Linked DNA regions of Callithrix jacchus. The protein of the gene in region 1 interacts with the protein of each later gene in a pairwise test. Links are inferred from orthologs where the notes say so. Each region holds a gene or a part of one and is shown in the gene's direction. Other genes may lie near its edges. The genes, in order: PPFIA1, FAM161A, DTNB, PPP2R5D, PTPRD, CCNH and TXLNA.

Region 1 (3,500 bases):
CAGTCTAGGCTGCGTCTCTGTGAAACCCACACCTCCAGTTGCCTTCACTAGGACCTCCACGATTCCTCGGTTTAAAGAGGGTGCCCTTAGGTTTAAACATCACCAAACTTGGTTGCAAATGAAGTTAGTGCCTTGGGAAGGGGTTAGGAGCGGTCTCTCTTTCTACCTCCTTCTCCCAGGCAAACCCTCAGAACGAGGGCTCTGGAGTTGGGAGTGTGGACAGTGGCAAGCTTCTCCCTGACAGATGCCCCTGGTCTTGTGGTGGCAGCCAGGGCCCTCTCAGCTTGTCATTGCAGGGCCGGAGTGCAACCACCACCTCGCAGAGCCAGGGCACAGCCGATCAGGGCCCCAGCATTCTCAGCGTGCCACACTGTTGAGCCTTCATTTTAGAGTGGAGGCTGAACAGAAGTAGGAAGGCCCTCCCCCAGCCCCTCCCCCTGCCCCCACCCCCCACTGACTTCACTAGCCAGGATGTAGCATCAGCACCAGGTAGCTGGGGTGGGATGGGAAGCACTGAAGTTCTGCCCCTCCTGGGAAGAAAATGTGGTTTGGAGCAGGGGGAGAGGGCCCTACGTTATCAGCTGCAGTTATCTAGAATGAAGTCTGCCTCACTGACCTGGAGGGGAGGCAGGGAGCAGTCTTGGTTCAAATACAACAGACTGGCCATTCTTACTGAATTTTCAACTGTATGCTGACCCACTTGCCCTTAGAATGATCTCCAGAGGCTTTGAATAGTTGTTTTCTTATAATATTCACCTGCTTTCCATGGGAGCAAGCAGGTCAATGGAGCTTCTCAGGCTGTCATGCCAGAACTCTATTACCCAGAGTAGGGATTCTTGCAGAAATATTTAGGAGAGAGGCTGGGCACGGTGGCTGAAGCCTGTGCTCTCCGCTACTTGGGAGGCTGAGGCAGGAGAATCACTTGTGCTCAGGAGGCCAAAGCTGCAGTGAGCTGTGGTCACACCGCTGCACTCTAGCCTGGATGACACAGTGAGACCCTGTCTCAGAAAGATAAAGGGAGAAAAGGAGGCCAGGACAGGGGTGGTGGCCTTCTAGGCCTTCTTTCCTCTCTCTCCTGCAACTCTAGATCACGTGTCTGTGAGTCATTCAAAAACGTCTTCATGCAGTTCATGTCAGGATCCTGTGGAGGAAAATGTTTTGGACTTCTCTGGCTGCTGAGAAGGTGGACTTGGATTCCCTTTCTTCCCCTGCCTTCCTGGTGCCAGGCAAGGCCCAGGGATGGAAGGAAGTCAGATGGTCTGAGTCAGTGTTCTGATTTATTAGGGAATCTGCGTGGTCTTTGGCCAGTCCATTGATCCCCTCTTTCTCTGGAGGATCATACAGATCCCTTCCCCATAACTTGGAATGAGGTTGCCTTCGTGCAAAGATGGTGGAGCCTTGATGGAAGGCTTTCTTTGGAGGGTCTGTCCTATTTAATTTCGTTTTGTAATTTTCTAGGAGTTCGCGGCACTTACTAAAGAACTCAATGTATGCAGGGAACAGCTCCTTGAAAGGGAAGAAGAAATTGCCGAACTGAAAGCAGAAAGGAACAACACCAGGGTGAGTGTGACCTTGCTGTTCACCGCCTGCTCCTGGAGCCACTGCCTGTCAGGAGGAGGGAGCTGTCTCCAAACGGAAGGACGGCCCACTCTGCCCGGCTTCAAACACATTTCTTACCTTTTCCCACTGAGCGCACTGTGATTAGCCACACTGTCACACGTTAATGGCTTGAAATTTGTGATGAGAATTTATGATATTTTAATACATTTGAGGGGAATGTATCTTTCTACTGAATTGAAGGGACCTCATCTTAGCATGAGACTGTAAAGGTGTTATTTGCCCCAGATTCAATTATGAAATGACAAGTGCTCTTTAACAAGTCTTTATTCTGGCCTTTTATTTCAGCTGCTGTTGGAGCATTTGGAATGCCTCGTTTCCAGGCATGAGCGGTCTCTTAGGATGACCGTGGTGAAGAGACAAGCGCAGTCTCCAGCAGGCGTGTCCAGCGAAGTGGAGGTGCTGAAGGCCCTGAAGTCGCTATTTGAACACCACAAAGCTCTGGACGAAAAGGTGCCTCAGCTGCATGAGCCTGGGTTTGTGCACGTGCTGTGGGCTAGGCCAGCTAGGCCAGCTCCGCAAGTGTTCGTGTAACTTACTTTTGAAGCTTCTTGAATTCTTGGAAATAAGTTTCTGTTTAAGAAGACAGGGTTTTATAGGTTTAAAAAGTACTAATTGGCATATATGTCTTAAAATTACTAATGTAAAAAACTTGCTAATGTATATTGATTTGCTGTTACAAATTGGGTAATACTAGATTGTTGCAAAAGTAATTGTGGCCTTTGCTATTACTTTTAATGGTGGGTTTTGCTATTACTTTTAATGGCAAAACCCACAATTACTTTTGCAACAACCTAATAGTATTCAGGGGGAAGATTTTTCTCAAACTTAATTTAGAAGCATTAACAAGTTTTTTGAAAGTAAGATCAGTGGCAGACGTTAACGGTGTTTTATTATATTACAGTAATATATATAGTACACCGAACTGCAAAGTAAGAATAAACAGTGTACACACACACACTGAACCTCTTTTATTTTCAGGTGAGAGAGCGGTTACGAGTAGCACTTGAAAGATGTAGTTTGTTAGAAGAAGAATTAGGTGCCACACACAAAGAGGTGAGCTTCATACATCATCATGATTTGAATTGGGAGGTTTTTGTTTTTATCTTTCAATCATTAAAAGTAGCATAAGGGCTGGGCATGGTGGTTCACACCTTTAATCCTAGCACTTTGGGAGGCCGAGGCGGGCAGATCACCTGAGGTCGAGAATTCGAGACCAGCCTGGCCAACATGGTGAAACCCTGTCTCCACCAAAAATACCAAAATTAGCCAGGAGTGGCGGTACGTGCCTGTAGTCCCAGCTACTCAGGAGGCTGAGACACGAGAATCGCTTGAGCCCTGAAGGCAGAGTCTGCAGTGAGATTTCACCAGTGCACTCTGGCCTGGGCGACAGAGCGAGGCTCTGTCTCAAAAAAAAAGTAAAACAAGTATAAAGACTGTAGTTGTGAATATCAGATGTTATTTATCTGGGTCATTTTAAGGACTAGAAAACTGTGATTACCTAAGGACTCATTTGGCCAGTGGATAAAAATTCCATCTTTAAAGATCAGATTGGATAGCATTGCCACATGCTTTCTTTTTTATACTTTGTTAAGCAGTTTATAGTTGTGTTTTTCCAAAAGGAGTTTTACTATCTTACTTCTCTTATGTAAAGTATTTTATACTCGTTCAATTTTTTGGTTTTAGCTAATGATTCTTAAAGAACAGAATAATCAGAAAAAAACACTAACAGACGGAGTACTGGACGTAAACCATGAACAAGAAAATACACCGAGCACGAACGGAAAGGCAAGTGTGCAGGCTTTCTCTCTCTCCTGCTGGATGTCGTTTGTCCGCAGTATGTGTCGGGTTACGTGGAAAACAGTTGCTAAAGCACTGGCTTA
Region 2 (3,201 bases), on another chromosome or scaffold:
AAGATGTCTTAATGGTTTACCTTTGAAAAAATTGTTACCTGCAGGAAAGCATACAATTTTGTACTATGTATATATTTTTGTTCTATATTGTTTTAAAAAATATTTTACCCAGTAGTAAAAGACCTGTGAACTCTTTTAAAACATATTGATATTTTGACATGTGTAACACATTCACATTCTTGTGGTGAAGTATTATTATTTTTTTTTATTTATTTTTTAGAGATTGGGTTTCACCATGTTGGCCAGTCTGGTCTTGAACTCCTGACCTCATGATCCACCCACCTCAGCCTCTCGCAGTGCTGGGATTACAGGTGTGAGCCACCACTCCTGGCTGTGAAGTATTTTTTTTTAAAACAGAATAACTTAGATTTCTTACTGACATAAGTAACAAAAATAATAGCATGCTTTCAAATGATGTTTAAAGAATCAGTCACTCAAATTTTGAAGTAAATTTGTTTTCACCTGGGCGCAGTAGCACCCACCTGTAATTCTAGCACTTTGGGAGGCTGAGATGGGTGGATCACCTGAGGTTGGGAGTTCTAGATCAGCCTAACCAACATGGAGAAACCCTGCCTCTACTAAAAAATACAAAAATTAGCCAGGTGTAGTGGGGCATGCCTGTAATCCCAGCTACTTGGGAGGCCGAGGCAGAAGAATCACTTGAACCTGGGAGGCAGAGATTGCAGTGAGCTGAGATCGCACCATTGCACTCCAGCCTTGGCAACAATAGCAAAACTCCATCTCAAAAAATAATAATAAATAAACAAATAAATAAATAGATAAATTAGTTTTCAAGAATATTAAATTTCTCAATTGCTGACTTTTTTTTTTTTGAGACAGAGTTTTGCTCTTCGTTGCCCAGGCTGGAGAGTGCAGTGGCGAAATCTCGGCTCACTGCACCGCCACCTCCTGGGTTCAGGTGATTCTCCTCTTTCAGCCTCCCGAGTAGCTGGGATTATAGGTGCCTGCCACCAGGCCTGGCTAATTTTTGTATTTTTAGTAGAGACAGACTGGTCTCTGCCAAATGCTTGCCAGGCCTCAGCCTCCCAAAGTGCAGGGATTACAGGCATGAGCCAACATGCGCAGTCTCAGATGGCACTTTTATAGCATTTTCTGTTTTTTTTTTTGAGTTTTCTTGATAACAAATTGGAACTCATACACTTGAGGAAGACTGGCTACACGGTGGCACACTTGCAGAGGGGTTTTTTTTTACATTTAAACCAACTCATTTTTCCTTCGAAAGACTGATAAATTTCTTCCCCTAGCTTTAATGAAGAAGAAAAAATAGAAGAGAGAGAAAATGGGGAAGAAAATTATTTTATTGATACCAACAGCCAGGATTCTTATAAGGAAAAAGGTGAAGCTGATGAAGAGAGTGGAGAAGAGAAATCTGTTGAAGAATCACACTGAATCATCAAGGTCTCCTCTCTATGCCCTTGCTGCTGTTCGCAGTGTCAGGGTGTGAGCAGCTGCATTTGTGTTTAGAACATCTGTGGGGACACCTCTGATTTGTGCAGGGCAGTTGAGCAAAGTCATCTGTACCCTGAAAAGCCTGAATCCAGTTTATTGGTCATTTGATCAGTTAGAGTAAGGCTTTGCCTATTCAGTTTTAAAAATCATTATATACAATCTGTTTACAACTATGATTTTGTATTTTTTAAAAGTGTTTGAGAATCACAGCTGTCAAACTGTTATAAAAATATACGTTGTTTCATTAATTTTAATAGAAAAAATGGCTTAGTATTGAAAGCAGAGAGAAATATTGGTCTTTGGTGATTTACTTTTTAAAAATTTCTGGAAAGTGTGAATCAATGAGTATTTTTAATTATACTATTTGCCCATTCTTTTTCTCTGAAATACATTTCACAGAATAAATCCTTGAATTTATTTTGCTACTCTGAGCCATTTTTAAAAGTATAGAAAAAAAATACTTACAAATTTTATTTTTGCACTGAAAGTTCACTGTTAAATTGTCTACACCATCATCCCTTTTTCTTTTAATCCTTAGTTCTAGTCAAAATTATTTTTGATACGTAAATTATTAGGAAAGTTTTTATACTAGCTTTTTTAAACCTTTGTATTATTACAGATGGAAGTATTTATGGCATGTGTGAGTTATAATCTAAATTAGGGGCAAGTATTCCTGTTTTATATATGATGAAATTGTGCATAGGAACTTGGCTAAGGCAAGTATCCAAAGTAATTCAGATTTAACTCTTTACTGCTAGACCCAGTTGTGTTCAACTTTTTACATATTGTTGCAAACACACTTTGTCTCTCTGGGTACAATGTTAATCTGATTTTATGAAATAATTTTTTCTTTAAGCAAATTTTTGTTTTAAAATTTGAAGCCAATTATAAAGCTGTTACAGCATAAGACGTCTTCTCTTCTAAAAACAATCAGCATCATTGTAAAAGGATGAACTCATATAGGTGTATGTAATAGCAGTGTTCCCCAACTGGCAATTTGTGTTTTAAATTGAAAAATAAGGTTATTTTTCTTCATTAGGGGCAAATGTTTACTTGTAATTTCCTTCCTACAGTTCATGTTAAAAGTGAAAATTACTTTTCACTTTTATTAAATTGTAAACTCCTTGGGAATTGGCACCATTTACAAATTCATCTTTGTATTCCCTTAATATTTGGCACAGGATTATACATATGGTAGGTACTTAATAAAGGTTTGAATGACTGTGCAGATGAATATGGTTTTTATATACTTGTAGCTATTTCAGCATGAGTACACATGGGATTAAAAACATTTTCCTCCTAGCTCATTGGGAGCCAGTGAAACACAATCTACAAATTATAATAGTACTTAAAACATTACTTGCTTTCAAAGATTCACTCCTCAGCCTGTCCCTTCTCAATTTCATGGGGAGAGTGTGGGCTTTGGTCATGAAACACTTGGCTTCAAGATCAATCTCGTTTTCTTACCTTAAAAAATATGGGAATTGTACCTATCTTGGGTAACTGTAGGAAGGACTGGATGAAATCATGAATGGAAAAGCTCTTTGCAAACTGTGATATTCAAATGATGGTGTCAGAAGACAGAACATTCCTGAGGAAGCTATTGACTTAAAATACTTTTACTTAAATGAGATACACTGTGATTTAAATATTACTTTGTTAGAAATCACTTTTGAAGCACTTTGTTAGATATAATCTGGTAAACACAGAGCCAAAGTTAAAAAAAGAGAG
Region 3 (4,282 bases), on another chromosome or scaffold:
CTCATCTTCACTAAAAATGCAAAAATTAGCTGGGCATGGTGGTGCATGCCTGTAATCCCAGCTGCTTGGGAGGCTGAAGCAGGAGAATCACTTGAACCTGGGAGGCGGAGGTTGCAGCGAGCCAAGACTATGCCTCTGCACTCCAGCTCGGGCAACAGAGCAAGACTCATCTCAAAAATAAATAAATACATAAAAATAAAAAATAAAGCAGCTGAGCCTCCCTTCCCTCACCCACGACCATGCAGGGGCACCCTGGACGTATTTCAGACCTTGCACGCCGAGCCGGCGGAATGGTCTCTACTTCTATCCCAGCTAGTTTCCAGCGCCCTTTGCACTCTTTGTACAGCCAGAAACCCTTCAAATGATTAACTTTAACAAATGGGAGAAGCTCAGTGCTCCTCGACCCTGGCTACGCATTATATCACTTGGGGTCACTTAAAAAAATTCAGCCCAGGTGCAGTGGCTCATGCCTGGTCCTAGTGCTTTGGGAGGCTGAGGCCAGAGGATCTCCTGAGCCTAAGAGTTTGAGGCTGCAATGAGCAAGACTCTGTCTCTTAAAAAAAATTAGTTCCGCCAGGCGTGATGGCTCACGCCTAGAATCTCAGCGCTTTGGGAGACTGAGGCAGGTGGATCACGAGGTCAAGAGATCGAGACCATCCTGGTCTCGATCCAGGGTTTCACATGGTAAAACCCTGTCTCTACTAAAAATACAAAAATGAGCCGGGCATGGTGGCATTAGCCTGTAGTTCCAGCTACTCAGGAGGCTGAGGCAGGAGAATTTCTTGAACCCAGGAGGCGGAGGTTGCTGGGAGCTGAGATCGCGCCATTGCACTCCAGCCTGGGTAACAGGCTGGAAAAAAAAGATTAGTTCATCTAGATGAATTTTGGGTGCAGGTATATTTTCTCAAAAGCATACCAGGTGACAGGTATGTGAGAACAGCTTGAATTACCCTTGAGCCAGTTTAGAATGTTTTGTCAACATAGAATTTGTTGACATTTTCAGGTGTTTGACAACACTACATAAATAAACAAGCCTTTGATAAACTAACAAAACCTGTAGGACACTCTTCCTCGGACACTCTAGCCTCTGGATTGCCTTCTTGGGGTAATTCTTGGGATCTTTTGGGGTGCCATCAAGCCTCCTGCCTCGTGAGCTTTGCATGGTATGGCAGAATGATAGCTAATCACCCCTGTAATCCCAGCACCTGGAAAATATGACAGAAGTCTCGCTAGCTATCCAAGCCAGTCCAAATTTCAGCTTGACACCTAAGGACAGTTTTATTGAAGAATACAACTGCTGTTCCCGAGATAAATCTTAGAAAGCTTTGTCTTGAAAGGTTTTTCATGCAATTTGTCACAGGCTCTCATAATCCACAGGATGATACAGAGAGTAAAGATCAACACCACCATTAGCGCTGCCTCTCTTCCCCGCCCTCCGAATCCCACTCAGAGGTGTTCGAGCTGGTTTTCTGTGCCAGCTTCATTCCACATTTGGCCAAGACCGAGGACTCAGGCTTCAGCCTCTGGGGGTAAGGATTTCCACATTGTTATTTGCCATGCAAAATAGCAGTTCCTATTCATTTCTTCCAAATCTGCCTCTGTCAACACAGATGGCGCGCTACCCCGTACTGCTGGGACTGTGAGATTCGGCAACATTGTCTGTGTCCTGACTGTGCGGACCTTTGGCAGCCAAGCTATCACCATCCCCTGAAGGATGGATTTTGGTTTTTGTTTGCCTCCTGTGAAGGACCTTCTTTCTGCTAATCATTTGAATTACTCTCTCCTGGACCCCTTCCAGTCCTATCACGCCATCTGTAAATGGCAGAGAACAGAACGAGACACACATTATGGTGTCAATGTATAATAATTTGATACAAAGATGCGATTATGATGTTTTGTTTTGAGTATTGCTATCTGCACGTTCTTGGTTTTTTTGGTGGGATGGGGGTGGAGGTGGGAGAAGGAAGCTAGAAGCCAGAGCAGGCTGGACAGTGGATTTTATTTACAACTTTAAGGAATGGTTTTCAGGTTCATTAAATTGTTTTCCTTCAGCTGTTATTACCTTCCTCCTGCTCACACTGACACTCGGAGGGCAGGTGTCTGCCCTCCCACGCAGCTCGCTCACATCCTTCTGTAGCCTCCTCCCTGCCACTCTCAGCTCACTCACTACCTGGCACATGACCTTGGCGATTCCACCACGCATCTCTTCCCCAGATCATTTATCACTATGGTAATTAAGACTTGGATGTTCAGACTGTGGAATGAAAATAGAACAGGTTCTAGCACAGATTTTAAAAAATATTTTTCTTCCTGCCTCCAAAAAAGTACATGTTCATTTAAGACAGTTTGAAAATACAAACAAATGCAAAGAAAATTAAAATAATTCTTAATCCTATTACCCAGAGATAACTTCTTCAAATATTTTGGTTTATATTCATCCAGTCTTATTCAAGGAACACAGTAAACACACACTTTTTCCCTTTATCTTTGATAAATATTATATTTGATATATTCAAAGAATATATGTAACATTACACTCCCCCCACAAGAATCAAAACATTATAAACAATGGCAGTAATTGTCATTTACCTAAGTGCACCCCTTAGTCTCCCACTTCCTCTCATGGGGTGGGAGTATCATTCCCTTGCCTTATTTTTTTTCCCCTTGCCTTATTAAAGTAATTTTAGAAATTGTTTGTGTTTATTTGATTTTCAGCTTTGTAAAAATGGTAACATGCTATGAGTCATATGTTTCCTGCTTTTTTCACGAAGAAAAATGTTGGTTCAATTTATCCATGCTGTGTTATGCAAATGTTCTTTTATTTTTGCTGCTGTTTAATATTTCCACTGTGGAGATATACACATTTATACATTCATTTTTCTCTTGCTGGCCATTTGGATTGTTTTCATAAGTCTCAAGAACAGGCTGGGAGTGGTGGCTCATGCCTGTAATCCCAGCACTTTGGGAGGCTAAGGCAGGCAGATTGCCTGAGCTCATGAGTTCGAGACCAGCCTGGGCAACATGGTGAAACCCTGTCTCTATGACATACAAAAATTAGTTGGGCGTGCTCATGCACGCTTGTGATCCCAGCTACCCTGGATGCTGAGGCATGAGAATTGCTTGAACCTGGGAGGCAGAGGTTGCAGTGAGCCAAGATTATGCCACTTCACTCCAGCCTGGGTGACAGAGCGAGACTCTGCCTCCAAAAAAAAAAAGTACTAAGGACAGTGCAGTGATTGCACATTCCCCTTGGTGCATGCATGAAGAGTATCTTTGGGGTTGAATAGCTGGATATAAGGTAGGTAGAATTTCAACCTGTTAAATATTGGCAAAATGGTTGTACCAATTTATACTCTCACCATTACTGTATAGGAGTTTCCAATTGATTAGCCTTTTTTCCAACATTTGGAATTGTGAAACTTTAAAACTTGCCATGCTAGTAGGTGTACAACGTTGTAGTATTAATTTGCATTTTCCTGAATGCGAATGAAATGGAGGATCTTTTTCTATGTTTATTGACCATGTGTTTTCTCTTCCATAGAATGCTTGCTCCTTTTTCTATTGTGTTGTCTCCCACATTTTTTTTACTTTGAGTCAGAGTCTTGCTCTGTTGCCCAGGCTGGAGTGCCATGATGGATCTCAGCTCACCGCAACCTCCGCCTTTGGGTTTCAAGCAATTCTCCTACCTCAGCCTCCCAAGTAGCTGGGACTACAGGCATGCACCACCACGCCCAGCTAATTCTTAGCTTTTTTTTTGTATTTTTAGTAGAAACAGGGTTTTACCATGTTGGCCAGGCTGCTGTGGAACTCCTGACCTCAGGTGATTCAACTGACTCAGCCTCCCAAATTGCTGGGATTACAGGCATGAGCCACGATGCCTGGTCTCTCAAACATATTTTAAACAAAATTTGAGCCATACTACATATACCATTTTATATCATCTAAAACGTTCTTTTACAGTGTTATTTTAGTGATTTGGGACTCTTCTATCTCATAATTTAATCAGAGCTCTGTAAGTATTTTTTTAAATTTTGGTTTTGAGAAATAACTCTGGTAAGATATTCTATTGCATACATTTAATTACACATAACTGAATGTTTTAATAAAATAAGTTCTAAGAATTGAGATTTCTGAGCCTGGGAAACATGGTGAAACCCTGTCTCTACAAAAAAATACAAAAATTAGCTGGGCATAGAGGCATGTACCTGTAGTCTCAGCTGCTCGGGAGGCTCAGGTGGGAAGATTACCTGAGCCTGGGGAGGTCCAGGTTGCAGTGAGATAT
Region 4 (3,416 bases), on another chromosome or scaffold:
TCATGAGCCTGATAAGTGACAATGCAGCCCGAGTCCTCCCCATCATGTTCCCTGCACTTTACAGGAACTCCAAGAGCCACTGGAACAAGTAAGGCACTGGGGGGCGGGGCTGGGTGGTGGGGATCCAGTTAGGAAAACTTTGAGGATATGGAAGAACTAAGGGCCAGGGGTCTCACCTGGTCACCCAGCAAGTGGGGCTGGTGTCCCCTGCATGTTGATAGGACCTTGAGGGGCTAACTGGAGCCAAAAGATGCCTCTGTGATATCAAATAGCAGGGCAGCAACCTGTGTTACACCACTCCTTGGGGTCAGCTATTCTGCAGGTCCTGTCACAGCTTTAGAGACGTAATTCTGTGCTGCAAAAAGCTGATGTGACCCTCTTTGAGAGTATGTGTAAAGAATCCCAGGGTTTTGGGCCAGGCACAGTGGCTCATGCCTGTAATCCCAGTACTTTGGGAGGCTGAGGCAGGTGGATCACTTGAACTTAGTAGTTCGAGACCAGGCTGGCAACGTGGGGGAACCCCATCTCTACTAAAAACACAAAAATTAGCTGGTGTGGTGGCATGCGCCTATAGTCCCAGCTACTCGGGAGGCTGAGGCAGGAAAATAGCTTGAAACCAGGAGGTGGAGGTTGCAGTGAGCCAATTTTGTGCCACTGCACTCTAGCCTGGGCAACAGAGTGAGACTCCATCTTTAAAAAAATAAAAAAGAAAGAAAAAAGAATCCCAGGGTTTTGAAAGGACTTTTCTGCTAAAAGCAAGCACAGTGTGGTATAGATGCAGTCTGTCATGCTGCTGGGAGGCCATTAGTGTGGGTGAGAGAGTGGGAAAGGGTAGGAAGTAGGCAGGCCTTGGAGAATGGGGTGAGGGAAGCATGGACAGATGGACCATGAAATGCCAGTCTCAAACCACATGATTTGGCCGAAGCTATCTTCTGATCCTGCATAGAGGTTTGTGAACTGGAAGTAGTAAATGAGAAAGCTCTTAGTAGACATACCCCTGTGAGAGAACAAATTGGGTTCCTTGTGCTAAGGGCAGACTCTGGTCTCCTACACCTCATCTTTCTTCCTGGTGGCAGGACAATCCATGGACTGATCTATAATGCCCTGAAGCTGTTTATGGAAATGAATCAGAAGCTATTTGATGACTGCACACAACAATACAAGGCAGAGAAGCAGAAGTGAGTACCTCTCTCCCTGGGAGACTTTCATCTTCTACCACTAGCTCACTTTGTTTCTCTCAAGCCCAACCCCAATCCTACTTTTTTGATCCTCAGGGGCCGGTTTCGAATGAAGGAAAGGGAAGAGATGTGGCAAAAAATCGAGGAGCTGGCCCGGCTTAATCCCCAGGTGAGGATTTCCTGCCAGTGTTGTGAAGTGACAGGCCAGCCCATCTTGAGCTGGGGGAGGAATATGAGGCACACAGACCCCCAAGTCTCTGAAGTGGCTCTCACCGCTGTCCATGTCTCCTCTCACTCAGTATCCCATGTTTCGAGCTCCTCCACCACTGCCCCCTGTGTACTCCATGGAGACAGAGACCCCTACGGCTGAGGACATCCAGCTTCTGAAGAGGACTGTGGAGACTGAGGCTGTGCAGGTGAGAGGACAATGTAGGAGAATGGAGCAGAAATAATAGCTCTGGAAGGGAGAGGAGACACAGACAGCAGAGCCAAAGAATAAGGGGAGGAAACAATAGAATTCACTGGGAATTGGTCACTGTTCCTTCCCTTGTCCCTATTCACACACAGATGCTAAAAGACATCAAGAAGGAGAAGGTGCTGCTGCGGAGGAAGTCGGAGCTGCCCCAGGACGTGTACACCATCAAGGCACTGGAGGCGCACAAGCGGGCGGAAGAGTTCCTAACTGCCAGCCAGGAGGCTCTCTGACCCCCTCACCTTCTTACCACAGGGCCACAGCCCACTCAGCCCTGGAACACTGCCCCGGCCCTCCACACTCTGCTCCCTACTGGCTGACTTGGGGGAAGGCAGCGTCTCTCTAGCTACTCTAGGGAGGGGGATGTGGGCACTTGAAGCAGGGACACCCACAGAGTGGTCCCTCTTCTCCCCAAAAGGTGTTCATGCCTCCTTGTGGCTCATACAAGCTGAGCACTAAGATATTCAGTGCTCAGACAACCTGGGGATGCCTGTCCCCTACCTGCTCCTCACCCACAGCTACCTGAGGCTGCTCTGAGAAGTATACACAGGAATACATATGCTCCTCTATTCTTCCCTTCATCCTCATTTGAACACCAGGTGTCTCCCCTCTCTCTCCACTGCAGAGGCAAGTAGGGAACAGCAGGAGATTACTCTCACCAAAGTTAGGCAAACCCCATTCTCCCCTGGAGTAGCTGGAGGGAAGCCAACCCCCTGCAGCACAAATAGGCACCCCTAGCCCCAGCCATGTACTGGCAGATAGGGTTGTATTATTTCCTCTTACCCCATGCCTGACCAAGGGAGGTCAAAAGGAGAAAAGTATAGGCTATGGACAGTAACTGAGGAATATAGGGCCCAGATAGACTGGGTGGGGCCAGGGAGGGATGAACAAACACCTTACCCCATGCCCTGTCTTTGGTGAGCAGCAGCCCTGGGATCAGACATGGAAGGGACCACCCTCGGGCTGACTGCTTTCCCAAAACTAGAAGGAAGCAGGGAGCAATGCCCCAAGCATGGCTCCTGGCAACACCTATTTATTTCCTTGTTTGTGCTAGGCTGGGCATGCCCTCTCTTGTCCCTTGTAGGTACCCTGGAGGGGCAAGGGACTGAGGAGGGCTGGACCCAGGTTCCAGGTGCACAGGCAGTGCGGCTTTTGGCTGTGTATATAGGGTGCTTTATTCTCCACAGAGTGATACATGCTAAGGTGGGTTGGGCTTGGGCTGATGTCCCCATATGTACAGAACCGAATAAAGTGGGTCTCTGAGAAGCCTTATGTGCCTTGATGTGGAAAGGGAGATGGGGAAGATGGAAATGGACATTACAACCAGGGATGTGTTCAGTCCTGTGCTGGTTCTGGCCTGGAATGTAGGAAGGTAAGGCAGCTCTCTGTGGTCACTTCCAGGCAGGGGATGCCTGCCGGGCTTGGAGGGCTTTCTGTACCACATCTTCCCACTGGGCATCTGATATCTCCCGAGCCCAGGCAGGAACCCCTGGCGCAGGCAGGCTTACTCCAGCCATCGTCCTTTTCACCAGCTCTACATGTTCTGAAATCAGAGCCAAAGGCCAGTCAGGGACAGAAATAATGGGACCAGCTCTCCTCCCCAATCCCTGAATCAACCCAGCGCCCTTGGGTGGGTCACCAAATCCATCTTATTTTCTAGGCCAGCCTGCCCATCCCCAAAGCTAGCAGATGAGCATTTCACTTGGACTCTGAAGTCCACAAAATCTTAGTTTACAAACTATCTTTTTAGGAATAGGGTCTTCATC
Region 5 (3,500 bases), on another chromosome or scaffold:
GTTTTGTTCGATCATAGCCTCTGTTACTTCTTTTCATCCCACAATTCATGATTTGGACTCAAACACATATTTTATTTTTTTCCCTTATTTTTTGGATTAAAAAAATCACCATTATGAAAAGGTTGACACTGTTTAGAGTTGGAGTTATTCCTACCAGTTTTTCAAGATCCTGTAGTATCCTTCTGCCAGAGTATAGAACCATGCATCATCCAGACATTTGAATGGTCCCTGATGCATATTTTGAGAAAATAGTCCTGCCATTATCTAGAATTGATGTGATATATAGGGCTCAGTTATAAGGTTTACAGTGTGATTTCCAATGGGAAGAACGGCATAAAGCTGTGTCCAATTAGAAACGCTGCACAGCTGCAGTGAAGACAATTTAGAAAGATAACACAGAAAGAATGAAAGATGTTACTCTCGGGACCTGCCAAACATAGGGTTTGAAAGAAACCCAGAAAGACAAATCTTTTCCAGATTAAGTCTGACTTGGGTTTAACTGCAATCCAATGGCATATCGGGAGACCAGCAAACACACTACTTATAAAGTGTTTTCCCTGTCTCTTTATTCCCAATCAAACACTATCCAGAGCAGTCCTCAGATACTCCTTACTTAGTTCCAAAGCCTTGTCAGATGTAGGATTTTGAAGTGACTGAAGAGTCCTGCTTCCTATGTAGGCTTACCTTACCGGGATGGACTGCTCGTTACTGGAGGCCTCTCAAGCCAGTCACTAATTTGTTTACTTATTTCACAGACACTGTTGAACACTTACCATATGCTTTGTGTAGGGCACACACAGTTTTTTTTTAGTGCAGTTCCTGCTCTCAAGATGATTGCTATTGTTTATGGATGGCTACCCTAAATTAATAAAATAAATTGGTTTCAACTATAGTGAAGAGGGGTATTTGAGGGCACCAAGAGATCTGAGACAGAGGGTGATTAAAACCGCCTGGGAAGGTGGGAATGGGGAATGTCAGGGAAAATTTGCCATCTAACAGGCTTGTTTAGAACCAACTAAATAAAATGAGACTTTATGGATCATTGGTCTGTGCTAAGGTATGTGCTGTCATCTTAAGACTATGTTTCAGAAGGCTTTTGCATGATGTATTAATATCATGTCAATGTGTGCATTTATACTTGGGTTTGGAGTCTTAGCATCAGTATTCAAGAGCCCTCTGGCATAGGACATAAAAAAGGGTAAGCTATTTTAAAATACTGGTTATATCAGAGATTCCCAGTTAGCCCAGTCTACAAACCAAAGAGCTCCTGAATGGAAGCTAGCTTTGATACCCACTGTTCAGAAGTTAAATAAAGGTGTTATTTTGTTTAAAAAAACGCTCTTACTGCCTTGCAGCCACTTGACACCAAACAGAAACTGCCATTTCAGTTGAGACAGACACACTGGTGAACATTAACTCATTCATTTTGCAATTCTGGTGTCTTCGTTGCACTGTGCCACTGGTGCCTTGGCAGATCTATGAAAAGTTTCACTTGTAGCTCCCAGAGCCATCAGTGTGATTACAAAAGCCATCCATCTTTTTTCATGCTATAGCATCTTTAATTCCTCATCCTTCCTGTCCTTCAAGTCCTACTTCAAATGCCACATCATACACAAAACTAATATATCATTTTTCTTTCTCGTCTTAGAAATAGCTGTGTACGGAGTGTTATGTTCCTTTGACACACTCTGAGCTCTTTCAAGATAGCATCTAAGTCATCTTTATTGCTGTATCCCCTACTTCACTTAGCAGAGTACTTCATTGTTCATTGAATGAAGAAGTGGATAGATCAATGATGGATGGACAAATGAATACATAGATACACAGATGATAGGAAAGATGGCAAGTAGCAAATGAAGGAGGCTGTCTGTTGCTGGTTTTCTAAGGTGGTAATATATACCTATTGCTGTTGATTACCAGCCTGATAAACACAGGTGATCAGGAGGCGAAAGTATTTTGGATTGACCATACATGACACATAAGTGTCCTCAGCCTGAAGGGTTATGATAAATAGGAAATAGGTGAGGTTTAGCTTGAGACTGTAAAAACAATCTTTATATTTTGTACATAGAACTAAAATAGATTGAGAGGGTTTGTAAAAACCATAGCCTACTCAGATCTGGACCAAAATATAAAAGTATCTTCTCAATTCAGACAGACCAAATGTTCGTATTTTTTTCACGACTTGAAAAGACTTCAAAATAATGTCTACTTTGTATTGCATGATCAATAACTATAGTGACTACGGATTTAATATTTTTTACATTTTAAAACTAAACTAATTTCACCCAGTCTGTTGTTCCCTGCCCTCTGATTATGATGCCTGGATAATATTTTTGGCTTTAAAGTATTACAAAGTCATCACAATAGCTATTTGCGTAGAAGTAATGGATGTAAGGTCTAGTTAATAAGAATAATAAAAATACTTTTGTTTTGTATTGATTTTTCTGATAGATTTATTTTGGCTTTTCTCTTTATTTTCCTCATAGTGCGGGAGTTGGCCGGACTGGTTGTTTCATCGTCATAGATGCCATGTTAGAAAGAATAAAGCATGAAAAAACTGTAGATATTTATGGCCATGTAACTTTAATGAGAGCCCAGAGGAATTACATGGTTCAAACAGAAGACCAATACATCTTTATCCATGATGCACTGTTAGAAGCAGTGACTTGTGGAAATACCGAAGTGCCAGCTAGAAACTTGTATGCCTACATTCAGAAGCTGACACAAATAGAAACAGGAGAGAATGTCACAGGAATGGAGCTTGAATTTAAGGTAAGATATTGGATGGGATGTGGTTCTTCAGGAGCAAGTCATTCTTGGTTTGTCTTTGAGTTGTCCCTTCACTTTCTTAACCTTTCAAATTCGTGAAGTACAAAATTAATTTGACCTTCCCCTCAGGTGTCTGATTATAAAACACATCCCTCTCCTTTTCCTCTTTTATTCATAGCTTCATAACAATGCCCTGAGCCCTTCTGTCTCCTAATTTAAATTGAGAGATTATACTTTCAGAAAATATATAAAAATCCAATAGGCTATAGGGAGTAATTGGGTAGATGTGAAAAGAGGTACAATTTGAATCGCCATTTACTTTAAACAGAAAATTTATATCTAAAAGGGAAATTTGGGGTATACTACATTTAAACAATAGTGAAAATGATCTTCGTTGGTTTCTTTTTTCTATTCAATAGCGTCTAGCCAGCTCAAAAGCTCACACCTCAAGATTTATCAGTGCCAATCTTCCATGTAATAAATTCAAAAATCGCCTTGTTAATATTATGCCATATGAATCCACAAGGGTATGCCTGCAGCCTATCCGTGGAGTAGAAGGATCTGATTACATCAATGCCAGTTTTATTGATGGATACAGGTATCTACTGTTGCTCCTCTGACTATCCAAAGCCTTGATATTTACATGCGCCCTAGTTTTAAAACTAGAATAAATTTCATCTCCATTCAAAGCTATTTTTCTGCATAGGTCAGCATTTAGTCCCTTGGTA
Region 6 (3,500 bases), on another chromosome or scaffold:
AAAACTAACACTTTGAGAATCTGTTCATTTGGACTTTTATCAATTATCGGTCAAGTTCAGGTATGTAAAACCTTAGAGTAATTAAAAATTTAAATATAGAAATTATGTTTTTATACTGTCAGTGGCCCTGAGAAAAACAAGTAATTGAGTTTTATATCACATTGATGGAGAAGTTTAACACCTTTGATTTGGACTTGATGCAAATAAGTATTAGGTGATAGTCTTGTTGGTTTGAATGTCTGTTACTCCAAAGAAGTACAACTATAGGTAAAATGGCTTTCATATTAAGGGGACAGAAAATACCAGTGCCAAATTCCAGTTTTGCTGCTTCCTAAGTTTATTTCTTTGGGCAGGTTACAAGATCATGACTTGCTCATCCCTGTAACTGAGATTCCTCTTCTGTAAAATAAGGTTAGACTCATAGGATTTTTATATTAAAAGGTATAAATTTATAAGTATTGGCTATTACTGCTGCTTTCATACTATTTCCTTCTGAAGGTTTATGCCTGAATATCACTAAATTTAAATGAATATAAACATCTTTTAATGTAATTGGTAATAAATCCTTAAAACATAAGAGTTATGGATTATATTTTTATACATTTAAACATTTTAAAGTTACCATTGATGAGATGGAGGAAAATAATTGATGATGCCATGCTTTTGCAATGTGCTGTATGTTTTCAGTAGATTAAATTTTTTCTTTCCTTTACCAGTTATTTATCAGAGAGTCTGATGCTGAGAGAGAACAGAACTTGCCTGTCACAGTTACTAGATATAATGAAAAGTAAGTAAAACAGAACACTCTACATATGTTCTTCCATTACAAAGTTCCTTTCTAAATAAATATCTTGGTGTTTAACTAGAAATATAACTTAGATTTTTGTTTAGATTTATTTTCATTGAGTGACTATATTATGGAAGCACTGATCTAGAACAAATAGAAGGTACATGGAAGTAGTGTTCATGTATATAGAACTTATGCAGAGTGAAACTATAATTGGATTTAGAAAGGGTTTAGAGATTGACAACAGGATCCTTTTAAAGAATAAAGAAACATACTAGTCACTAAAAAAGATGTAATGGGAACTAACTTAAGGATAATGTTTAAATTTGGAACTTCTATTTTGTGGATAAATCATTTTTTTAAAGAGAAGGAGATTTGACACACTTAGAATAGGCGCTGCTAAGACAACAGAGAAAGATTTAAAGATGCTCACCTTGAAAATTAGAGTGATGTGGCTGTAAGCCAAATGAAGCTGGCAGCCACCGGAAGCTGGAACAGGCAAGGAATGGATTCATCCCTGGAGCCACCAGAGAGTATGGCCCTTCTAGCACCTTAATTTTGACCAATTGAAACAGATTTCAGACTTCTGGGCTCTAGAACTATGAGACAATACATTTCTGTTGTTTTAAGCCAACAAGTTTGTGATAATTTTAATAGCAACTTCGGGAAACTAATGTAGCCCTGCATAACCAAGAATTATCCCACCCAAAAAGTCATTAGTGCTAGTGTTGAGAAATTCTGTCCTAAGGGTTGAGTAGAATCTCATCTTATTGACTGAATTAGCCAGCATTCTCTATTCTTCATTCTTGCCCATGGCACACTTGTTGATGGCTGCTAAGCTACTCTTTGGGGTTAAAGCTCAATCATGTTTGTTCCCAAACCTTGTTGTCTAAATTGTTCTTAATTAGATTTGTAATTTAATTAAATATTAAACCAGTGTAAGATTGAAGATCTTGATCTTGGATGACAGCAAATGGGTATACATTTTATATATTTTGTGTTTTAAAAGTTAAGATGCTTGAGGACATCTGTATCATTTCTTGATTCTCTGCTTGAAGTGATCTTGAGAACTTTCTTTGAGAGTGATGGGCTCATGGTTTATGAATTAAACTGTAGCTCTTTAGTTATACCACTAGGGGGTTCACTTTCAAAGCTAATTGTGAGTTGACTATAGATAATAGGAGCATAGAATTTAGTAGGTAAAGGGAGTCTTATTCCACTTTATTTATTTCATAGCTTAGTTTTATTACTGATTTCTTCTCAATACCTTTATTTTGCTCCACTTATTTTAAATGAAATAAAAATAGCTCTTCATAAAATATTTATAGATTTAACGTACTAAGATATTTGTAATGTTTGGAACAGATAGTGTCTTATGGGCGTTGAGTCACAAGTATTCAGTTGAAAATACTGCTTTGTTTGCATTATGAAATAGGTCAGTATAGTCATTTGGATCACAAGGCTGGCAAATAATAATAATAAGCCAATTGGCGCTCTCCTCATTCCCCTAATAGGTTTTGAAATTTGTGTTCTTTGGTTTATTATAGTTGAATAAAAAGATCAGCTAGAGGATGCTTTTGCAGTTATAAAGTTACTGATATAGTAGTTTGCTTTTAACCTAAAATGGACATTTTTTTCTATAGGGTCTGTTTTTTGTTAAAGCAAAGGATTATTAACAAATTTTTACTAAGCATCCTCCCTTTATTGCATGTTGTGTAATAACAGTTTCCTTTGTAAATGGGAAATATACTCTTAGTCCACTATCTGTGGAATAGAATATTATGAAGATGGTTGGTGATAGAGAACAAAGCATGTTCACTAAATCATTTAGGGATTTTTTTAAGTCTTAAGCTGAACAAGTGACCCCAGTAGGATTTGCAAAAAATTAATACTAGATTACACAGTGTGCTTTATGCTGTACATGGTATGGGCTAAACAGCAGAGAGCCATAATTACTTGAATTAAACATATGGTGCCTATAGGATTTTAAAGTAGAATGATGCAAATCTTGAGAAGAATAACCATGTCATTTGAAGAGTGTTTCGTTGAAAAGTAACAAGCTCCCTTACTATGGAAAGGTTTGCTTATTCAGTTTAAATTATTTTTTGTATCCACATAGGCATGAGAAACTTAGTAAAAAAGTATGAACCACCCAGATCTGAAGAAGTTGCTGTTCTGAAACAGAAGTTGGAGCGATGTCATTCTGCTGAGCTTGCACTTAATGTAATCTCGTAAGTTGATGTTGATCTCGACAGTGTTGATCAGTAGACATAACTTTTATCCAGTCCAGCTGGTTTGTAAATCATTTTATTGGTGTTTGCTCATTTAAGGAAAGCTGACTGATCCATTGTATCAGATTTTCTTTGTTGAATGGACATTTCTAATAGATTAAACTTAAGACCTTAATAGTTCAGCATTCACTGTGCAGTTCTGATCCTGCTGTGACTTGTGTTCTTTGGCTTGCATGCCCTGTCCTGTTCTGTTACTTGTCATGGACTCTCAGGGGTCAGGGTCTTCTTAAGGAATCCTTTAACCTTTTCCTGTCATTTTAATCTTTGGTCTCTGCAGTTGTGATATTTGGTCTGAAGAACAAATGTCCTTTCCAGACTTCTGTTAGCTAAAGTAGGGAAACTTGGCATACATACTTTCTTTCAGTGCCAAACTTTATATTGAAGATAAAGCCAATAGGAAAATAGGCTGTTTAATCTCTTCT
Region 7 (4,280 bases), on another chromosome or scaffold:
CAAATATTAATTTCAACACCTCACTGCTAATGCTGTAACAGAACTCTGCAGACCTAGGGAGCAAGTACAGATTGCAGAGCACTGGGAAGGCTCTGCAGTGACCTTTGAACTGGGCCTCAAAAGATTTTAAGTTTGACAAAAGCCAAACCTCTTATGCTTCAAATTCCAGGCACAAAGATTGTTGGGTTTGATTTCATTATCCAGAGGCAACGGGGATACAGAATTTCTGATCTCACGTGTAGAGAATTGTGTTTTTTTTCTACTTTAAACCCAGTGAGACTTTAGTAGACAGTGGGGCAGTCAGAGAAAAGGCTCTAGAATATGCCTGAAGCCTTAACTCAGCACCTTCCTGAGGAATTGACTGCCAAATGGTAAAGGAGAGGGGAAAATATGACCTATGTTCACAAGTTACCTTGACTGCCTCTGGAAAACCTGCTGTGGTGGTGTTTCTTCTGGGTAAAAGACAAGGTAGGCCGGGAGTGGTGGCTCACGCCTATAAACCCAGCACTTTGGGAGGTCAAGGCGGGTGGATCACGAGGTCAAGAGATCGAGACCATCCTGGTCAACATGGTGAAACCCCGTCTCTACTAAAAATACAAAAATTAGCTGGGCATGGTGGGGCGCGCCTGTTGTCCCAGCTACTCGGGAGGCTGAGGCAGGAGAATTGCTTGAACCTAGAAGGCGGAGGTTGCGGTGAACCGAGATCGCGCCATTGCACTCCAGCCTGGGTAACAAGAGTGAAACTCCGTCTCAAAAAAAAAGAAAAAGGGAAGCCGAGAAGTTACCTGGGTGCTGGTGTCAGAGTTAACAATTCTGAATCCGTTTTAACCACTCACTATCGATGTAACCTTGGAGAAGTTACCCAGCCTTTCTCTTTACTGTCCTTTTCCGTAAAATGGCGCTAACAGTACTTACTTCAATGAGTGCTTATGAGAATGAAGCTATTAGATACCGGAAAGCACACAGTAAGCGCTCAAGGAAATTATTGTTATTAAACACCTCCTTGGGAAGAAGGACATTAAGGCCCAGGGAGCCACAGCAAATCCATGATGAAGCTGGGACTGGAGTAGGGGTCTCCTGGGCCTCATCCCAGGACTCTATCCCTCTTCCCGATTCGTCGGAATTCCTGGATGGAGTCACATTTGTTCAAGGCCAGGGAAGAAGGCTTGACGGAGGCCTGCAGGAAACAATGCTAGGCGCAAGGCTTTAGGAGCTGAGGCATAACTTCTGCGAGATAGAAACAAGGTTGACCTGGGCATTTGCGCGGAATGACGGGCTCTTTTTGGACTCCCAGAACTACTGCCCCGTCTGCACTTTGGGAGCTGCTGCCAGCCCCAGCGCACAGAGGGACGCGTAGTCCTTTCGCTGCCCCGCCCTCAGGTCCCGCCCGCCTCCAAGGCCGCCCTCGCTTCGTCCTTCCCAGCAAGCTCCGCGCCGGCGCCGGCTATTGATTGGCTGCGGCGGGTGCAGGCTGCTCGCCGGCAGTGGTTACTCGGGGTTTCCGGTGGAGGCCAGAGCTGGAGAAGCCGTCGGACGTCGGTTGTGAGGTGCGTGCCGCGGCGACCGGTGGGAGAGACAATCGGAGGGTGTACGGGCCGGGATGTTCTCGGCCTGTGGGGAAATCACGGCGACTCCGCGCGTGGGCCGGGGGGCTGTCTAGGGCGTGTGCGCATGCGCGGGCGTGCCTCGCGGCTGGAGGGCGCGCGGGGCGTGGGTGGCTGCGCGCGCGGGGGGCGCACGTGGGTCCTGAGGGGCGGGGGCGGCGCCGCGACTCCTGCGCCCCGCCACGTCAGTCTCCGGCCCCGAGCCAATCCCGCTCTCGGCCTGCCGTGAGGGGGTTGGTTGTGCTGGGAAGTGGCTCCGAGAAGAAAAAGAGGCCTCTTTCCTCTTCCGTTGCGCTGCGAAAGCCTGCTACGGCACACCGGGCTCCCCTGACCCGCCAAGACCGGAGAGCCGTTGGCGCCCTCCGCCGGGGCCGGCCGGTCCGTTTAAGAAGCTTTGGGCGCCTGCTGTGGGGATTTCTGATCCAGACTGCGAAGAATTTCGAAGTCTGAAAAATTGCAACTGTGTTTGTTTCTAAAGGATCTCCTTCTGACCCAGCATCGCTCATCACAATGAAGAACCAAGACAAAAAGAACGGGGCTGCCAAACAATCCAACCCAAAAAGCAGCCCGGGACAACCGGAAGCGGTACCCGAGGGAACCCAGGAGCGGCCCAGCCAGGCGGCTCCTGCGGCAGAAGCTGAAGGTCCCGGCAGCGGGCAGGCTCCTCGGAAGCCGGAGGGTGTGTGCCAGCTCTGCATTGCCAGCGGGCAGGGGGAGGAGCTGTGCGCCTGGCCTCACTTCTGGATTTAGAGGCCGAGGCCAGGTTGTGCAGAGGAGGAGATGTAGAATGAGAGGGCAGTGCTGGGGCCGCGGTCCTTCCGGCGCCCTGGCGAGTTGGTGAGCACAGGAACAGAGTTCTCTTCTCTGGAGAGAAGCTCTGACAGGATTAAGTCAGGTGGCAGCCAAACGAGGCACCCAGTCAGGAAATCCAGGTCCTGTTAGAAACACCTCAGCCACCAACAGCTAACTGCCCTTCCTGGATTGAGGCATTTCTAGAACAATCTGAATGGCAAGAAGTGGTTGGTGAGGGGGGAAGGAGATGGACTAGAAGTTGCTTCATGCCAGCCCTGTGTGCTGATGCTTTACATACTTTTATGTTTGTAACCAACATGTTCGGGTGATAGTAAGAAATAGTTGTGTCATTTTACAAGTAAATAGACTTAAAGAGGTTGAGCATCCATTACCTGAGTCTGGCAAGAAAAAAAAAAAAGTTGCCGGGCACAGTGGCTCACACCTGTAATCCTAACACTTTGGGAGGCTGAGACGGGCAGTTCACCTGAGGTCAGGAGCTCAAGACCAGCATGACCTATACGGTGAAACCTCATCTTAAAAAAAAAAAAAGTTAAGCAACGATGACTATAATTTCTTTTAAAAGATGTTTCGAGGCTGGACATGGTGGCTCACGCCTGTAATCCCAGCACTTTGGGAGGCCAAGGCAGGTGAATCACCTGAGGTCAGGAGTTTGAGACCAGCCTGACCTCCATGTTGGAGAAACCCTGTCTCTACTAAAAATACAACAATTAGCTAGGTGTGGTAGTGCATGCCTATAATCTCAGCTACTCGGGAGACTGAGTCAGGAGAATCGCTTGAACCTGGGAGGCAGAGGTTGCAGTGAACTGAGATTGCATCATTGCACTCCAGCCTGGGTGACAGAGTGAGACTCCATCTGGAAAAAAAAAAAAAAAGTTTTGAATCTAAATTCTGACAGGAACTAGATTTGCTGTCTTCTTTCTCATTCTTTCCTGCTTTAGGGGCACAAGCCAAAACAGCTCAATCTGGGGCCCTCCGTGATGTCTCTGAGGAGCTGAGCCGCCAATTGGAAGACATACTGAGCACATACTGTGTGGACAATAACCAGGGGGGCCCAGGCGAGGATGGGGCACAGGGTGAGCCGGAAGATGCAGAGAAGTCCCGGACCTATGTGGCAAGGAATGGGGAGCCTGAGCCATCTCCAGTAGTCAATGGAGAAAAGGTACCCTCCAAGGGGGAGCCAGGCACAGAAGAGATCCGGCCGAGTGATGATGTGGGAGACCGAGACCACCGAAGGCCACAGGAGAAGAAAAAAGCCAAGGGTTTGGGTGAGCAGAGAGTGGCTCTTTGTGCAGCTGGTGAGGGGAGGGAATTTGGACTTGATGTTCTCTGGGCAAGTCTGTTCTGCCAGGATTCAGAGGAAATGGTACTTCTCAGAGCAGCAAGTCACCCTAGTCTAATCAAAGCCAGGGATGTGGGAGTCACACATAGAAAGATGCAGGGGTTTCCAGCACAAGGTCTTCTGGCTTTTGGAGCAACGGGAGGTTGATGTGTGACCTGCTCTTTGAGACAATGGAGAGCAGGAGGTCCGGGTAGCCTCCTGTGCCAGCCAGTACTACCTGCCTTGTGACCTTGGGTGTGCCCCTTCTCCTCTCTGGGTCCTAGTTTCTACTTCTGTTTACAGTAAGAAAATCAGACTAGCCCAGAGTTGGAAACCCAAATGTCTACATAAGCTGGGCTGCCTATGGGGCTCCATGAAGATAGAGCCTACTTTAGCCAAAGGCTTTATTGCTATTTAGTTAGTTGCTCTTAACTAGGCAGCAGCCAGCCTTTTTTTTTTTTTTTTTTTTTTTTTTTAAGAAAAGCCAGAAATCTAGATCTCTAGATTTTTTCATAGTTAGCAGCTAAAATGGTAGGAGCCAAACA

Evidence for each region.
Region 2: the proteins of PPFIA1 (region 1) and FAM161A interact in binary tests that used the Homo sapiens proteins (3 or more experiments, as listed by UniProt). The link is inferred for Callithrix jacchus from reciprocal best matches to the Homo sapiens genes PPFIA1 and FAM161A.
Region 3: the proteins of PPFIA1 (region 1) and DTNB interact in binary tests that used the Homo sapiens proteins (3 or more experiments, as listed by UniProt). The link is inferred for Callithrix jacchus from reciprocal best matches to the Homo sapiens genes PPFIA1 and DTNB.
Region 4: the proteins of PPFIA1 (region 1) and PPP2R5D interact in binary tests that used the Homo sapiens proteins (3 or more experiments, as listed by UniProt). The link is inferred for Callithrix jacchus from reciprocal best matches to the Homo sapiens genes PPFIA1 and PPP2R5D.
Region 5: the proteins of PPFIA1 (region 1) and PTPRD interact in a two-hybrid assay, tested with the Homo sapiens proteins (2 studies listed by BioGRID). The link is inferred for Callithrix jacchus from reciprocal best matches to the Homo sapiens genes PPFIA1 and PTPRD.
Region 6: the proteins of PPFIA1 (region 1) and CCNH interact in binary tests that used the Homo sapiens proteins (3 or more experiments, as listed by UniProt). The link is inferred for Callithrix jacchus from reciprocal best matches to the Homo sapiens genes PPFIA1 and CCNH.
Region 7: the proteins of PPFIA1 (region 1) and TXLNA interact in binary tests that used the Homo sapiens proteins (3 or more experiments, as listed by UniProt). The link is inferred for Callithrix jacchus from reciprocal best matches to the Homo sapiens genes PPFIA1 and TXLNA.

The regions. Positions count from the first base shown.
Region 1 is NC_133511.1:127,261,386-127,264,885, forward strand, and holds part of PPFIA1 (liprin-alpha-1), read left to right. Parts: intron 1-1,458; coding exon 1,459-1,560; intron 1,561-1,905; coding exon 1,906-2,070; intron 2,071-2,598; coding exon 2,599-2,673; intron 2,674-3,303; coding exon 3,304-3,405; intron 3,406-3,500. UniProt on the Homo sapiens protein: May regulate the disassembly of focal adhesions. May localize receptor-like tyrosine phosphatases type 2A at specific sites on the plasma membrane, possibly regulating their interaction with the extracellular environment and their association with substrates.
Region 2 is NC_133515.1:52,310,044-52,313,244, forward strand, and holds the end of FAM161A (protein FAM161A), read left to right. Parts: intron 1-1,265; coding exon 1,266-1,410; 3' UTR 1,411-2,701; downstream 2,702-3,201. UniProt on the Homo sapiens protein: Involved in ciliogenesis.
Region 3 is NC_133515.1:89,527,276-89,531,557, forward strand, and holds the start of DTNB (dystrobrevin beta), read left to right. Parts: upstream 1-1,482; 5' UTR 1,483-1,529; intron 1,530-4,282.
Region 4 is NC_133505.1:51,496,147-51,499,562, forward strand, and holds the end of PPP2R5D (serine/threonine-protein phosphatase 2A 56 kDa regulatory subunit delta isoform), read left to right. Parts: coding exon 1-88; intron 89-1,076; coding exon 1,077-1,178; intron 1,179-1,274; coding exon 1,275-1,347; intron 1,348-1,477; coding exon 1,478-1,594; intron 1,595-1,745; coding exon 1,746-1,883; 3' UTR 1,884-2,916; downstream 2,917-3,416. Other genes in the region: MEA1 (male-enhanced antigen 1), read right to left, coding at 3,042-3,193. UniProt on the Homo sapiens protein: The B regulatory subunit might modulate substrate selectivity and catalytic activity, and might also direct the localization of the catalytic enzyme to a particular subcellular compartment.
Region 5 is NC_133502.1:114,784,546-114,788,045, reverse strand, and holds part of PTPRD (receptor-type tyrosine-protein phosphatase delta), read left to right. Parts: intron 1-2,489; coding exon 2,490-2,775; intron 2,776-3,191; coding exon 3,192-3,370; intron 3,371-3,500.
Region 6 is NC_133503.1:123,478,033-123,481,532, forward strand, and holds part of CCNH (cyclin-H), read left to right. Parts: intron 1-716; coding exon 717-787; intron 788-2,906; coding exon 2,907-3,018; intron 3,019-3,500. UniProt on the Homo sapiens protein: Regulates CDK7, the catalytic subunit of the CDK-activating kinase (CAK) enzymatic complex. CAK activates the cyclin-associated kinases CDK1, CDK2, CDK4 and CDK6 by threonine phosphorylation.
Region 7 is NC_133508.1:68,784,935-68,789,214, forward strand, and holds the start of TXLNA (alpha-taxilin), read left to right. Parts: upstream 1-1,480; 5' UTR 1,481-1,547; intron 1,548-2,082; 5' UTR 2,083-2,114; coding exon 2,115-2,283; intron 2,284-3,355; coding exon 3,356-3,682; intron 3,683-4,280. UniProt on the Homo sapiens protein: May be involved in intracellular vesicle traffic and potentially in calcium-dependent exocytosis in neuroendocrine cells.